Linked DNA regions of Kluyveromyces lactis. Each later gene encodes a partner of the first gene's protein in a complex. Links are inferred from orthologs where the notes say so. Each region holds a gene or a part of one and is shown on either strand. Other genes may lie near its edges. The genes, in order: KLLA0_E22727g and ARL1.

Region 1 (4,327 bases):
AAAACAGCATCATTCTTACAAAATAAGAACAGGGAGACACTTAACTCCATGAGGAATAGCAATTCTGGCTCGAAAAATCTTTTGTTATCATCGTTAACCTCAGTTTTAATGTGTTCAAGCAATAGTTTAATTAAGGTGTCATTAACATTCTTGTCATTCCCGAAAAGAGAAGCAGAAATATTTGCCGTTTTGATACACTCCATTGCCTTGGTTGAGGCTTGAATTTCCTCATCCGTCGGTTCTTCATCACCCTTCAAATACGAAGCAAATGTGGAAAGCAAACCCCTACTAGAGTTCGATCTATTGATGAGAACTTCGGGTTTGCATTTAGGTAGGTTTGGTAGTTTCAATCTCACTTGTAAATCTGGGAAAATATCTGGTGTTATCAACATATTTTCATACAAACTCAAAAGCATATCGATAATTTTATTCCACGTCACTTCAGTAATAAGAGCCACGTTTGTATTTTGTCTTAAAATTCTGAATAGAACAACGGTTGACAGCTGCGCTTTGAAATCGTTGCCTAGAAGAATGGCTACATTACTTACCGCAATGCTTTCTTTAGAATCTTCCACATCGATCTGAACGACGGGTATTTCGTCAACATAAACGTCGTCAACAGGTTTTCTTTCTCCTGTCAAAGTAGTAAATTTGGCCATGGTTGTAATCACATCGTTATAGATATCACCAAGTTCAAACAAGCTGGCAAGATTTGAACATTTATCTAACGTTGTGAGCATTCTAGTTGCGATATGATCGTCTGAAGCAACTTCGAAAATTTTAAACAAAGTTTCTATAATGGAAGAACCCACGCTTTCAAAAATAGCCTTATCAAATTGTATCAATTGATTAGGGCCTAACGATTGGACATAGCTTTCACATTTGCTGACTTCGTGAGCTTCTGTTACAACTGTGGTAGCTGCAATTAAGTTATTCCAGCTGTCGTCGAACCATCTCTCGCTTCCATGATGTTCTTCGGGCATAACGATTTCTTTATCCCTGATAGAACAGTAAACCTTGTCCAAATACCATAATGGGAAGTCCTTCTGATTGTTACAACCCTTCAAGTTGAGGGTATAATCTTCAAATGTCATATGTTTTTTCACTTGAGGATTGTAGAAATCTGTATTCAGTATGATTACCGAGTAAGATAAAACGAAAACTGAATCTGCATCTGGCTGAATTGTAGAATAATCTCCCTCAATTTCCAGCCCATCTCTTTCAGGATTATAGTGTTGGTCTTCGACGTACTTAGCGGAGAACTGTTCCACAACTCTCTCGATCTGTTGAGATTCACCAGGTAATCTGAATTTGGTAAGAAGCGCTCTGATTGCCTCATCAATTCTTAAACCTGTAAAGTCAAACATTCCAATAAATTTTGCAAGAAGGCCGACTTTTTCAGGCGCCGCAATAAACTCACCAATAGTTTTTTTGTTCAACCGAGCATTATTATCAAAAAGGAATTTAGCTATTTCATCTTCAGAATTTGACGAAATGAAACCTTTCTCAATCAACAATGGAATGCCTTTCTTTGGCTTTTTATTAAACTCCTCTGCACATTTAATGAATTCGGTCTTCAAATTTCTCTTATTGAGAGTGCCCAGTTCTTCCGGAACGAATTCCTGCACTCCTGCTTTCAAAAAGTGATCATGCATATCATCTACAACAGATATCAATCCTTCCAAGCAGATTGGAGGAACACTATCTGATGTCGTTAGCGCAGATTCCGGTAGAGATAATTTTGTTAATGCCATCAAAAACTCAATAGCCAAATCCGACCTTTCCAAGCTGCAATCAAAGTTGATGAAAACAGCGGTGAAAAATGAAGGAGATCTTGTCCATAAAATTGAGATTTGTTCAATCAATAATTCTTTAACAACAGCTGGTCTTGGCTTAGTCTCATCTGAAACGTTTGAATCTAATAAAATTGAAAAAATAGTGTTGATGGTAAATTCAATTTGTAATGATAAATGGTCACCAAGTATAATGGTCAAATTTGTGAACAGCTGCAGGGCAGCCTGTAGCAACGAGAGTTTATCCGAATTTTGGATGATATACAGAATGTTTTTGCAGATAGGATCGGCAACCAAGGAAAACAACTGCGGATGTTGTGGGAATTTGTCGCCAGCTAATTCAATGGCTGTATTTAGTAAATGCAGACCAAACACCTTAGTGGAATTGTTTTGTTTGTGTTGGTTCTCAGGCAACAAAAGAGACACTAAAATGTCCATATAATCTTTTATAACTGCAAGTCCGTAGTCCGATTCTAAATTTTGACTTTCACTTGATGCTGTAAAATTGCCATTTTCAACGGAATCAATGTCACTGCTTCCTTCGGCACCTATGTTGTCATCTTTCAAAACGTTCTTCGAGAAGTCCTGATCGTTAATGAAGATGTGTTGTTTGCTTGAGTCTAACTTTTTCAACTTGTCAAATATCTTGACGGTAATCGATAGCATGCTCATTTCTGCTGCCTTTCTCAACACATCAGTTCTTCTTTTGTTACAAGCCAAGGACATGACAGTTTGTAACACATCGTACACACATGAGTCGGAAAGAATCTCACCTGAAGGAGAAGCAATAATTGATTCAATAAGAACCAATACCTTTAAAAGGACAGAATCATCGGATAAATGTTCAGTACCTTCAAATTTACAGTGGGTTAAAGAGTTGATCGTTTGTCTATAAGCTGCGACATGGTTTTTCGAAGATTCGTTAATAATACCAAAGGCGAAAAACTTTTGTAATGAGTCTAAGGCCAATGATGTAATATATCCTGACGTTGAAGCTGTGCTTATCACCAATAAGAAAGGTTGCAAGACAGTTAGCGCATCAACATCTTCTAAATTATCTTTATGATTTAACATCAATCTCAACTGAATTAACCCCGACAGTAGTGGATCCTTAGTCTTACTAGCTGCTAAATTATTGAAAGTACCTGCCAATGAAGCGTCCTGATTTATGAATATATCACTTCCCCCCCCTAACAAGGCTGCAACACCAGATTGCACCGAATATTTCGCGTACTTCCTCATAGAAGTCGACAAAGAAATACATTCCTTGATGACAATTGTGACCGGATCAACAGCCACATTATCACGAGTCATTTCTTGTCGATACATTTTTTGAAGTGGTTCAAGCTTAGTCAACCGTAGAACCCTAATCGCGATCAAAAGTCCTTCCTTTCTTCTCCTTCTCCTTCTCCCTCTTACTTACCTATCACACTGTTCCCAAAGTTTTGTTTGATTTCGAGGTCCCAATACCAGATCGCCTGAACTTTGATAAAAGTTTCTTACCCGGACAAAATGATCTACGAATTTGACATTACGAATGAACAGCTAGTTTAAGAACAGTGATGAGATGAGAACGAATACCTCATCCCATCAGTTAAAGCCTCCTTGTTCCAAAGCTAAGTTGCGCTTTATAGCTGTGGTCAAAGTAACAATAGAAAAAGATAAGGTAATAGGTCAAAAAGGATAACTGCTCCTCCTGTAAGATTGAATTCATTGTTGAAATGCACAAAGTATATCTTGATATTAAGATCGGCGATGAGCCAATAGGCCGAATCGTATGCGAACTGTTCGACGAACAAGCCCCTAAAACATGTGCTAACTTTATACATCTATGCAGAGGAGATGTCAATCTTAATGGTAAAGTGTTAAGCTATAAAAGAAATCACTTCCATAGAATCATTAAGAATTTTATGATTCAAGCTGGAGATTTGATGTTCGGTTCTGACGACAAGATTAACAAAGAAGAAGTTGGAAAAGGCGGTTGCTCAATTTATGCGACTGAATCTGAGTTGGAAAATTCATCTAGAAATGAAATTCAATGTTTTGGGAACTTTCCAGATGAAAATTTGGGTGAATTTACCGAAAGCTTCATATTGGCTATGGCCAACACTGGTTCACAGAATACCAACAGTTCTCAGTTCTTCATTACTACTTATCCATCTCCCCATCTAAACGGTAAACATTCTCAGTTTGGAAAAGTGATAGCAGGTAAATCTGTTGTTCGCACAATTGAGCATATGGATGTCGATGAAAATGGAGTACCAAATGATTCAATAATCATAGAAGATTGCGGTGAATGGTCTGATAATATGGAAATACCTCTTTATAATGCATGCAACGATACAATTGGTAATGATTTTTATGAAGAAAATCCAGATGATGACACCCACTTCGAAGGCGAAGATTTTGCCAAAGCATATGAAGCAGCAGAGACCATTAAAGAATCTGGTTCTCTGCTATTCAAGAAACGAGACTTTAGGAACGCTCTTTTCAAATACAAGAAGGCCTTGAAATATACTACTGCATATACTCCT
Region 2 (2,724 bases), about 170 kb from region 1:
AAGAGCTCAACCCGGTTCTTTGCCTCTTTCCCCTGTATAACTGTTCCGAACAGTCTTCGTTTGTTATGTGGTTATGGGTATCTACCGGGGTTGGGCTTTTACTATGCAATTTCGGGGAGTTTCTTTTTGTATGATTAGGTTGTGACTGAGCCTGCGTTTGCAAATATTCGTTTACCATCTGAACGTCTGTTTGAGTCACCGAGTAAGACTCGAATAGTCGCGGGGAGAAATTCTTGAACTCCTTTACCATAATTCTGTTCCAAGCCATGGCCAATTTTTTATGATAATCGGTGATATTAGTACAGCGACTATAAATTGATGATAACAAATGCTCATAAAAGGAGCACAACCCATAGTTCAGAAGAACAGGAGAGAGATGATTCAAGCAGATAGTCTTATTCACAGGTATGCAGGGATTAGGTGTCAAACAGTTTAATAGTATGATAGGCTCCCATTCGTTCATAGGCTTGTGGCTTATGAAAACAACACAGTAAAGTTCCAAATCTCGGCTTTCGTCATGTAGTACTATATTCCAGAACTGCAAATTTGATTCTTGTGGCTTGATATGGCATGTAGAGTGCTTATAATGGCTCAAACGTTTCCATTCCCTAAGGAGTTTCCTGTACAACGGATGCATCTTATGTGGATGTGGCCTGCTATTTGAAAGAAAAAAAAGTAGTGAAGAATAACAATTATAGGCAATGGAAAAGCCTTTCCAATAATGATATATTACCACACTTAGTTGGCAATATAGTAGTTAAGATATCCAATAATAATCACGTTACCCTTAGCTTTGCATGCAAAGGTATGCAGTCTTACTGTTTTGTATTTTTACAAATCAGATTAATATATTCTATTATTATTTTTCTCTGATTATCATTTTTGATCTACAAATTCTTCATATATTGTAGAATATGTTTATACAGATAGAAGAAGAAAGAAAATTCAGAGCATTAATCAGTACCGGTATGCCTCATGTGAGCTCTCTGCAGTTACAAACTCGCATATATAAAAAATTGAGATTGAACAAAAAAATACAGCGAGGACAATGTGAACGATACAGACTATATACGCAAGTAATTTTTACTATGTCTAATGGGGTCTCTTTGTTTGTTGTTACCCGGCCACTAAAAGGCCAACTACAATTTTAGTGAAAGGAAAATCTCAGGATCGAGTGATTAATAACACACTGCATTGGTTAGGAGTTATGATTTCATTGTATTTAATATTTCACTCATTACAAAGACATTATCTGATCTTATAGTACGAATACAATAAAATTGTTTACACATCAGGAGACAAACTTACCGCTGTCTGGATCGCTGTTTATTCGTTTATTTGTTTCGAATTTTGGCTGTAACTGGTTCTCAAATAAGAAATATTTTGAACAAGTACTTCCTAATTTTACATATCAACTAGTACAAAAGTTTTGGTTTTAAATTATTAATTGACTTATTAATACACCTTTTCTTTAATTACCAACTACCTTTGAATTGACCGCAGTACAGCAATTACTTATAAAATATCACAATGGGTAACTTCTTTAGTTCTATGTTTGATAGACTATTGGGTGCGGAAAAAGAATTACGTATATTGATATTAGGGCTTGATGGTGCTGGTAAGACGACGATATTGTACAGACTACAGATAGGAGAAGTGATAACTACAAAACCTACCATTGGTTTCAATGTAGAGACGTTAAATTATAAAAACTTGAAACTTAACGTGTGGGATCTAGGTGGACAAACTTCGATTAGACCATACTGGCGTTGTTATTACGCAAACACAGCAGCAGTTATCTTCGTTGTTGACTCTACAGATAAGGACCGTATGAATATAGCTTCGAAGGAATTGCACCTCATGTTGCAAGAAGAAGAATTGCAGGACTCCGCTCTGCTCGTATTTGCCAATAAACAAGATCAACCAGGCGCATTAAGTGCGTCAGAAGTATCAAAGGAGTTGAACTTGGCAGAATTGAAGGATAGAAGCTGGAGTATTGTTGCATCCAGTGCCATTAAGGGCGAAGGGATAACTGAAGGTTTGGATTGGTTAATTGACGTGATTAAGGAAGAACAAATGTAATTGTAGAAGGAATTGAAAACTGCATGTTTTTTAGTGCTTCCGGTCCCATTATATTTATCTACAACTGAAATGCTTTTTTAATTTGACATGACCTAAGATAGTAATAAAAATAAATGACAAAGCTAATAACAAAGTTAAAATTCGAATTGTTTACTTCCTGCCGATGCTGGCGTAATGTCCTATTGAATTCCTTTACACGCTTATTTCAATAGACATTCAATTTTCCCATGCATTTTTATTTCATCTCCAAAATCCTCCACTATTTCGTTTACGTTTGCGTATGCGTGATATAATGTTTTCTCCTATTCAAACCATTCCATCGTGCCCTAGTTTCATTATATATATAGCATATTCATAATTCGCATAATTAAGCAGTCATTATACCATGCAACCACGAATCCTTTAAATGGAACATGGTCTTGCCAACTACCACCATATCATTCAGTATATGATGTATTACTTCGCTCAACGTAAAAAGGTAAATCTCTTTGTTATATATTACAGGTGTACATTACCCCCTCGACGAATATCATATACTGGAAACAAATACCAAAAGCGGTACCTCTTTTTGATTATTATTTGCTATAGTAATAACTACAGGCATATAGCAAAAAAAAAAGTAACCGTTATAAAGATCGTGAA

Evidence for each region.
Region 2: the proteins of KLLA0_E22727g (region 1) and ARL1 are in contact, whole or in part, in a cryo-EM structure (PDB 8EZJ), measured with the Saccharomyces cerevisiae proteins. The link is inferred for Kluyveromyces lactis from reciprocal best matches to the Saccharomyces cerevisiae genes GEA2 and ARL1. Residues at the interface, in NP_010892.1 of Saccharomyces cerevisiae: Pro71, Phe72, Ser74, Gly75, Gln78, Leu79, Met82, Asp93, Leu95, Thr96, Ile97, Gln99, Pro100, Leu103, Thr107, Ala144, Asn147; in NP_009723.3 of Saccharomyces cerevisiae: Ile50, Gly51, Phe52, Ser74, Ile75, Pro77, Tyr78, Arg80, Cys81, Tyr82.

The regions. Positions count from the first base shown.
Region 1 is NC_006041.1:2,027,586-2,031,912, reverse strand, and holds the start of KLLA0_E22727g (uncharacterized protein), read right to left. Parts: upstream 3,123-4,327; coding exon 1-3,122. Other genes in the region: peptidylprolyl isomerase CPR7, read left to right, coding at 3,515-4,327. UniProt on the Saccharomyces cerevisiae protein: Activates the ARF proteins by exchanging bound GDP for free GTP. Plays a role in maintaining mitochondrial morphology. Stimulates DRS2 flippase activity.
Region 2 is NC_006041.1:2,193,024-2,195,747, forward strand, and holds ARL1 (Arf family GTPase ARL1), read left to right. Parts: upstream 1-1,530; coding exon 1,531-2,082; downstream 2,083-2,724. Other genes in the region: UBS1 (Ubs1p), read right to left, coding at 1-637. UniProt on the Saccharomyces cerevisiae protein: Recruits golgins such as IMH1 to the Golgi. Can bind and hydrolyze GTP. May be involved in trafficking events within the endosomal system.